2 linked regions of the Caenorhabditis elegans genome follow. The protein of the gene in region 1 interacts with the protein of each later gene in a pairwise test. Each region holds a gene or a part of one and is shown on either strand. Other genes may lie near its edges. The genes, in order: C24A3.2 and tars-1.

Region 1 (4,041 bases):
AAAGCCCTGACTATGGAATAAGTCATTTCTGAGCATTTTTTCACTGTTTTCAAAAGCTACAGAAACCAAACTCTGTGTACTCAATTAATAAGAAATGAATCACAAAATAGAAGACAAAAATGAAAAATGAATACTTTTGTGTATTAAAAACATTAAAGCCTAATTAAAAAATAAAATTCACATATGGATTTTGAAAATTATGCCTTTCAACATATTCTGTTTTGTTTTCAAAAAAAAGAGAATAATTTTGAACCAAAAATTAATTTATGTGTTTTCTATTAAATGTATTGTTTTTTTGAAGAAAACTCACGCTAGTCCAAGAATAATATCCTTAGCAGTATCTCGTGTTCCTCTAGGTCGTCGCGACATTATTTTCAAGATCCAAACACTAGACGTTTTCTTCCTACTTTTCCTTTTTTTTCGCAACGCCGCACGCTTCACGCCTAGCAACAGTTTTCTCTGAAAGTTGCTATGACCACCCTCATACGTAACATCTTTTGTTTTCAAAAATCCCTTTTTTTTTGTTGGCAACTTTATTATTTCCAATAAGCTGTGAGAAGGAGGAGAAAGTAAAGTGAACCAGAAAAAACTATGTATTCATTAAAAAAAAACGAGAGATGGTGATGGGTAAATGAAGAATTCAAACACTATAATTGTAAAACGTTAATTGCATAGAAATCAATACAAAAAATTGTTTGTTAGTTTTGATTCAGAGATGAACTTTAAATTGAAAATAAAAAATAAAAAAGGAATGAGGAGAGAAGGCGATCGACATGAACCATTTTCGATGATCTTGGTCTTGATTTTGATCTAGAAATCTTTATCCACCTCCAACTTTGATCTGGAATAATTGTTTAATTATGTTTTGTGGTGTCTTTTTTTGGGAAATCGAAACTTCAACAAAAGATGTTAGCAACAAAAAAGTTGAAAAATTGTGTTAGATAAATTTTGCAAATTTGAAAAATTATTAACTAGATAATTTCAAAAGATACCTGAAAAATCAAAATTTAGCGTAATTAAAGCCATATTGTTTTGTGACTTGAAAAATTGATTTCAATAAGTTATTTTGTATTATACATCTGTTTCACATTTAAATATTTCTTTTGTTTTCTTTTTTCCTCAAAATTGCAGTTTTGAGTTTGAAAACCAATCTACCTACCGAAACATAAGTTACACAACTACATAGGGTAAAGAATCTATTTGAAGATGGGGGGAAAACGGTGTTAGATGAGCAGAAGAGGTGAGAAGCAAGTTATTCAGCCTTGGCCTCTTGAGCTGCCAACCTCTGAGATGGAATGCGTGGCTGTGGTCCGAATCCGTACTGAAAAATATTTTGTTGAGTTTTTTTAAAAACATTTCCTACAATTCAACATCAGATCCTAATCTAATTTACACTCTAAGGCTATTTCAAAATTTTCATTAACCATTCCGTTGTTGAATTTGATCAACATTTCGTACTAATGTTCTATTTTCTTATGCATCTCCCATTTTCTTAACAAACAAATTAAACAAAGAGTGTCGGAGCCCTCTTATGCATACTCTTTTAGTGACGCGCACTGACGTCATTTTTCTTCTCCCATAAAATTTCACAATTCACCACTCAACTGTCCTATAAGCATCACACTTTTTACAATTACAATTCCACCAAAAAGTTATTAGTCTCCTAAAAATTTTTTCTCAATGAGCTATAAAGTGCTGTTGACGTCACTGATCTTTCTCTCCTCACACGAGACGGCGGATGTGCAGAGAACGAATCGAATTGAGACAGATTTTTTAAATAACAAACCTTGGCAAACACAGTTGGATCGTCGTCTTTCGATACGCAGCACCACAGGATGCAGGTGATGGAAATCACTAAAATGGCACCGAAGAAGCAGAGCCACACGGCAACCACACCCAAGTAGTCAATCCATTGGAGTTGTTGCTTCAAGTCGACCATTCTGAAAATTAAACCGTGAGAACGGTTTCCAAACGTTAAAAAAGAAAGGAAAATATAATAAAGCAAAGTTTATAATTTTTAAATTTTTTTGTGAACTTTTTTTTTGAAAGATTAACGGCGAAACAAAAAAAAACAAGCCATTCTAACGGGAATACATTTTTGGAACGTGGTGCAAGCCGTTCTTTGGATAAATGGAAAAAGGTGATGTGTTCAAAATGAAGGGTTCACATGAACAGAAAGAAAAGAAATTGAAAATGCTGGTCTCGTACTGGCCAATGCTCTACGGAGCACACCATTTGCGGCAAAAAGGGAAAGTGGGTGAGCCATGGAGAGAGAGGCGCGCTGCACAGCGTTTTGAATTTGAAAGCAAAAGGAGAGATGAACTGCAAACCCAAGACCCAAGCGCAACTCGACTGACAACTAATTTCGGAGCAAAATTTCGAGCAAATTTTAGTGTAGTTTTTCGCGATACCTTCTGTCGAATTTTTCCCAATGTCTTGAGAAGCAGCTCGGCTTACTTAGCAAACAGTGGCAAAAAGAGCCGAGGAGGTAAGGAGGAGCAAAAGCACAAACAGTAGGCATTGCACAATTTTGTTGAATTTTGTCTTTTACTTTTTTCTCTTTGAAACCCATTGTGGAAGAAGTCCAACTCATTTTGTGAGTTTTTTGTAGAGTAAATTCGAAAACCCAAAAACACCAAATGGAGAAGGAAAGAAGGATGGGAGAATAAGGGAAAAGAAGGAAAATTGAATTGAAAAAAGCAAGTCTTCGACATTGAAGAAACGGAAAAGGTTTTCTGCTCTTTTTTTCAATCTGGGAAAGAATTGAAAAAAGTATGTGGCTGAAGAGGCGAAGGAAAAATAGGAAAAATAGGAAAAATGCATGGAAAAAGAAAGAACAAAACGTCCCCCCTATGTTTTTTGTTGTGATAAAAGAAGAGAGACAAAAGACATCTCGAATGAGAAAAGGGTGTCTATGTTTATGTTTGTTGGCTTTACTAAATTTTCGAGCAAGCTTGACAAACTTTTTCAAAAAGTAATTGTAAAAAACCTCACAAATAAATTTCTACATTTAAATTTTTAACTTTTCTTATTGCGTGTAGAATTTTTTTGGATTGCTTGAAAAGAAAAAAGTTAAATCGAGTAAAAAAATTTATAAACTCTATAGATCTTTACAGTTAGGACCGTAACATCAAACACCGGAAAAATGAAAATATTCCTGGTTTTTCAATAACGTTGAAAAGAAGCATACACATAACTGATATTAATGCTGCATCCTAATATTTTTCTAACAATAAGTATGTCAAGTTTGAATGAGAAGATTAAAAATAAAAAATCTGAATAATTTTTGCAAAACTTTCATCGGTGTTGATTGACATTTTTAGCGCATATTCAGACGTCTTTTGTTCCAAATTAACAACAGCTGAAGTTTTAACTAAGACAAGTACGTCTACTCTTTTTTTTTTGCAGTTTGGGAAAATATAAATGCGTCTTCAGGTAAAAGTACTAAAATACACAACAGGGCAATTTGCGATATCCAGATGACGAAGAACGCACAACAACTGACTTTGGAGCGTAACTCTCGAGAAATCGGAACTCGGAGAGAGATAGTTCAAGCCTTTGAGACGCAGATATCTTGGTAGTAAGGGACCAAGAGAAGCGGCGTCAAAGAAAACGAGACCCCAGCGGTAGTCGAAGAAAAAGAAAATAGCCGGGACCCCCCTTCTCCTACAGCCTAACGGCGGTGGCGGCAGTGGCTTCATCCTCCTTCCAACACTGCCGAGTTCATAGAGAAGGGAGAAGAAGAAGAAGAAGAAGAAGAAGAAGAAGAAGAAGAAGGAGTAGACGATGGAGAATAAGCTTGCTCCGAAAAGAAGATGCGGGAGGGATCAATATATTCTGAGAGAAGAGGGTGACGGGGGCCTCAACGACTCGGCGGACGGGCGACGGGACTAACGGGGTGGCGTCGGAAAATTTTGTGTATGTATGCGTTGAGAGAGAAAGAAAGAGAAGAACCGAAACAAAATGGCCCCCAGCGCGCGGCACACCACTACCACCAAATCGTTGGCTCTTCTTTTTTTGACGAGCTTCAGTCTCTTCAAG
Region 2 (5,402 bases), on another chromosome or scaffold:
TAAATAACAAAACATGTTTTAAAATGAGGAGACCCGAAGAACTCGGGGGATGTCCAACTGGGGGGATTACCAACTCGGGGGATTGGCCCCGCCCACAGAACCGTGGCTTGCAATACGCCCATTTCTGCAACTGCCGCACGGTTTTAAAATCATTTTTTCTTGTTAATTCTCGCTCTATTGAGAAAAATACAGTTTTAAAACCGTGCGGCAGTTGCAGAAATGGGCGTATTGCAAGCCACGGTTCTGTGGGCGGGGCCAATCCCCCGAGTTGGTAATCCCCCCAGTTGGACATCCCCCGAGTTCTTCGGGTCTCAAAATGAGATTTTAACTACAGTATTTTATTTAAAGGCGCCTAACACTGTTTCAGGTGGGTCTCACAGCGACCAGCTTTCATAGTGGAAATTTTTAAATAGAATTGAATTTTTCTCACTCAGTAAGTAGTATTTTTCGGTCAGTATTTAATGTATTTTCTTGTAATATTATGTTTTATCAAAACAAAAATTGTCAAAGAAAATTAAAATTGTGAAAACCCAATTTTTAAAAATTGAAAATTAACTACAGTACCTATTTAAAGGCGCATATTACTTTCTAGCTGGGTCTCGCGGAGACCAGTTTTCAATGCGGGATTTTTGAAAGAAAATCTATTTTCTTTGGTCAAAAATCACTTTTCCCGTCAAATTTTACTACTTTTTCTTTGTAATATTATGCTTACATCGACGATTTTCCACTGCGCGTCTGACCTGTCACTCAGCTGAATACATTCTATTGTTGACAGATTGCTCGAGCCGTCGTCGCCACCCACAGCATAGAGAAGACCTGCAAAAATGCTATTACTATTTAAAAATATGATTTAAAATTATTAATTCTACCGTTCAAAGCTGTAGCTGCGGTATTTCTTCTCGGAATTGCCATATTGGCGAGCTCAATCCATTCCTCTCCGATTAATATCTAAATTATCGACTTTTTTGGAGTAAAATATAATTTTTCCCATTCCTACCTCTGCTGATCGGTGAATTTCTGCCCCTTTATGTCCTCCTACTGCTATAATTTTCTTATCGTACACAGTGACGCCAGCTCCTGATCTGACATTCAGCATTGCAGGCCCTGGACGCCATTTGTGAGCTCTTCGATCGAAAATTTCTACCTAAAAAGTGCGGTGTTTCATTTATCGACGTATTTTTCTACTATTAAACCGAAGAATATAGTTTGGAATTTATTTACCACTATAATTCAGCAAGTGCGTCAGCTCACCACAAAACGCACCAAGGGGCTGACGCGTTTCTCGTGCGCCGCTAAATCTCAATTTCTGCAGACTTTTCCCTATTTCCATGCTTTTCATAAGTATTTTGCAGGGAATTTCTAGTTTTTTCGATGAAAATTTTAATTTTTTTAGGCTATAATTCGAGTTTTCTTTTTAAAATGTCGGTATTACTACCTTTAAAGTCAATGTTAATCCAGTAAAATCGAATTTTTCCTCTTTTTTACTTTTTCCTCTCCTCTGTGCACTCTGCCTCTCCCGTAAATTTCGCTATTTTGCTCAGTAGTATTGAACGCCACGTCGAAGCATTGCATCACTTTCCGTCATGCTTTAATAGTATTTCGAAATAAAAATTTACTTATTGTATTTAAGGTACGCGCAGCTTCTTATGGGAATCGTTAGATGCGATTGAACTGTTTCCGGATATTTGTTCACATTCAAAAACCGACACAAATCTTCAAACCGTTTTATCGCTCGCTTTCTTCCGAGGCTTCTGATAAATATCATTTTGTGAACGGCCACGTACGTACTTTTCCGTATAAACTTTAAGAATTGAGTTATTCACTAATTTAATTTTTTTAATTTCAGAAAATGTCGAAGGCCCCAACCGATATGGCGCCATGGCCGGCGTTCATTGAGGAGAGAATCAAACTTTGGGACAAGTTGAAGGCGGAATACGACGCTGAAATTGCTGCCAAAGAGTCTGAGCCAATTCAGATCACTCTTCCCGACGGAAAGATCCACGAGGGAAAGACATGGCGTACTACTCCATTCGAAATCGCCGAGAGAATCTCCAAGGGACTCGCCGAGGCCGCCGTCATCGCAAAAGTCAACGGAGCTGTGTGGGATTTGGATCGTCCATTTGAAGGAAATGCAAAGTTGGAGCTCTTGAAGTTTGATGATGATGAGGCTAAGCAAGTGAGTTTTTTGTTTAGTTTTTTATGGAAATAATTATCAATTTAATTTCAGGTTTTCTGGCACTCTTCTGCTCACGTTCTCGGAGAGGCTATGGAGCGTTATTGTGGAGGTCATCTTTGCTACGGACCACCAATCCAAGAAGGTTTCTACTATGATATGTGGCATGAGAACCGCACAATCTGCCCTGATGATTTCCCGAAGATCGATCAAATCGTAAAGGCCGCAGTAAAAGATAAGCAAAAGTTCGAGCGTCTTGAAATGACAAAAGAGGATCTGCTGGAAATGTTCAAGTACAATGAGTTCAAAGTCAGAATTATCACGGAAAAGATTCACACTCCAAAAACCACCGTCTATCGATGTGGACCCCTCATTGACTTGTGCCGTGGCCCCCACGTCCGTCACACCGGAAAAGTCAAGGCCATGGCAATCACCAAGAATTCATCGTCTTACTGGGAGGGAAAAGCCGACGCTGAGTCCTTGCAGAGACTTTATGGAATCTCGTTCCCCGATTCAAAGCAACTTAAAGAGTGGCAGAAACTTCAAGAAGAAGCCGCGAAGCGAGATCATCGTAAACTCGGAAAAGAACATGATCTCTTCTTCTTTCATCAACTTTCTCCGGGATCGGCGTTCTGGTATCCGAAAGGAGCACATATCTACAATAAGCTCGTCGATTTCATCCGAAAGCAGTACAGACGACGCGGTTTCACCGAGGTTATCACTCCAAATATGTACAACAAAAAGCTCTGGGAGACTTCCGGTCATTGGCAGCATTATTCGGAGGATATGTTCAAGATCGAGGTGGAGAAGGAAGAGTTCGGTTTGAAGCCGATGAACTGCCCGGGGCATTGTCTCATGTTCGGACACATGCCACACACCTACAATGAGCTTCCATTCCGATTCGCTGATTTTGGAGTTTTGCACAGAAATGAAATGTCTGGTGCTTTGACTGGACTTACACGTGTTCGTCGCTTCCAACAAGATGATGCTCACATTTTCTGTCGTCAAGATCAAATTTCCGAGGAGATCAAGGTATTTCTGCTTCTGATTCCGAGTGAAAAATTATTGTTTTAAAAATGTCCCAAAGTCGATTTACGAGAATTTTTTAAAATTCCGATATCAGTTGTTCAATGTTTCTTCATTTTCGTCGGTTTTTTTCTTTTAAATTAACATAAAAATCCAGCAAAATTTTCCGGTTTTCAGTTAGTTAAATATAATAAATTGTCACGAAAAAAAAAATCACGTAAATCGACAAATGGCGTCAAATGAAAGGCATATTTAAAAATTTTCACAAACCTAGATGTTCGGAATCAGGGAAAAATTGCCTTTTTAATGAAAAAAAAACCAACAAAATTTCAGCAATGCCTCGACTTCCTCGAGTACGCCTACGAGAAAGTGTTCGGCTTCACCTTCAAGCTTAACCTCTCGACACGACCAGAAGGATTCCTTGGAAACATCGAAACATGGGACAAGGCCGAAGCAGATCTCACCAATGCGCTCAACGCTTCAGGCAGAAAATGGGTGTTGAACCCGGGAGATGGAGCATTCTACGGACCGAAAATCGATATCACCATTCAAGATGCTCTCAAGAGAAACTTCCAGTGCGCCACAATTCAGCTTGACTTCCAACTTCCGAATCAATTTGATCTTTCCTATTTCGAGTGAGAAAAAAACTCTAAAATCTAAAAAAATTTAATTTTCAATTTTTCAGCGAGAAGGGAGAAAAGCAGAGACCAGTCATGATTCATCGTGCTGTTCTTGGATCAGTTGAGCGGATGACAGCTATTCTCACTGAAAGTTATGGAGGAAAATGGCCATTCTGGCTCTCACCAAGGCAATGTAAAATCATCACTGTTCACGAGTCAGTCAGAGACTATGCAAATGACGTCAAAAAGCAGATCTTCGAGGCCGGATTTGAGATTGAGTATGAGGAGAATTGTGGTGACACGATGAATAAGCAGGTACATTTAACTCCATTCTTAAGATATTTCAATATTAAAATTTTAGGTCCGAAAGGCCCAGCTTGCCCAGTTCAACTTCATTCTCGTCATTGGAGCCAAAGAAAAAGAGAACGGAACAGTAAATGTGCGCACCAGGGACAACGCAGTTCGAGGAGAGGTCGCACTCGACAAGCTTATCTCAAAGTTCAGAAGATTTGCTGACGAGTATGTCGCCGACACGGAAAAGTCTGAGGAATGGGCATAAACTTCTTGTTCGTTGATAATTTTATAATTATAGTATTTATTGGTTCCCCCCACGCGCCCACGTCTTCTAATGCATTGAATTCCAGTTAATTTTTGTGTTCCCTGATTGTTATCCTCTTCGGTATTGCTTTATATATTTGTTTGTTTTTTATTTTATTTCTTCGGTTTTTCTTTTACTCCCCATTTCCCACCAGTGTTTCTCATGAAGTAAAACAAACCGTATTCAGGCATTGCTTTGAGACACCATCGAATCCCCCAATCGCATAGATATCCTCTTCGAACGCTGCCACTCCAACACTTGATCTTCTCGTGCTCATTGATGGAAGTGGAAACCAATTTCCTGTGTGTGGATCGAAATATTCTGCACTCGCAAGCCCGGTAGTTCCATCGAATCCCCCAACTGCATACAACACCTGTTGACACGTGGTTATCCCGTGAGTGGATCGGCGAGCACTCATCTGATTCGCGGAACGCCATGTATCGGTTCGTGGATCATAGAAATCCACGGATCTCACCCGCTGTGCTCCATTGAACCCGCCAGTGGTGTACACGTAACCATTGCACATGCTCACTCCACTTCGGCACCTTCTCTGTGGAAGGGATGCACACGAGCTCCAGAGTTGGCTATCAGGATCGAACAAATCGACGTTGGTGATCGCTTTTGGAGCCTGCCCACCGACGATCATTATGTGCTGGGATTCTGGCATGGGTTCACGGGCGACGAACCATTTTCGGTTGAGCTCCTGAATCGGATAGTGGGGCTCCGTGCTGGAAATGTCTTGCTTCGTGATTTTCAGCTGATGCATTCCTTCGATGATCACGTTTAGACAAGCCGCATCACTTTTGATCATCTCGTCATTTCTCCATTTTTCGAAAAGATAATCATCACCCAGCAATGGCAGGCGAACATTTGACATTAGTCTGAAAGTTTTTATTCATTTGATTTTTGTTTCAAGGTCTCGCCACGACAAATTTTTGTCAAATGCGAAAAAGTCTGCGCTTTTAAGGGGTACTGTAGTTTCGAA

Evidence for each region.
Region 2: the proteins of C24A3.2 (region 1) and tars-1 interact in a two-hybrid assay, tested with the Caenorhabditis elegans proteins (one large-scale study listed by BioGRID).

What each region holds. Positions count from the first base shown.
Region 1 is NC_003284.9:8,995,399-8,999,439, reverse strand, and holds C24A3.2 (Neuropeptide-like peptide 36), read right to left. Parts: upstream 1,941-4,041; 5' UTR 1,940-1,940; coding exon 1,787-1,939; intron 1,322-1,786; coding exon 1,284-1,321; coding exon of another isoform or gene 1,253-1,283; exon of another isoform or gene 1,160-1,252; intron 842-1,159; coding exon 811-841; 3' UTR 581-810; downstream 1-580. Other genes in the region: C24A3.1 (Kinesin-like protein), read right to left, coding at 311-369.
Region 2 is NC_003280.10:11,690,522-11,695,923, reverse strand, and holds tars-1 (Threonine--tRNA ligase, cytoplasmic), read left to right. Parts: upstream 1-1,630; 5' UTR 1,631-1,660; coding exon 1,661-1,780; intron 1,781-1,846; coding exon 1,847-2,176; intron 2,177-2,227; coding exon 2,228-3,205; intron 3,206-3,532; coding exon 3,533-3,834; intron 3,835-3,884; coding exon 3,885-4,134; intron 4,135-4,180; coding exon 4,181-4,378; 3' UTR 4,379-4,595; downstream 4,596-5,402. Other genes in the region: kel-1 (BTB domain-containing protein), read right to left, coding at 713-816, 870-948, 998-1,144, 4,596-5,298.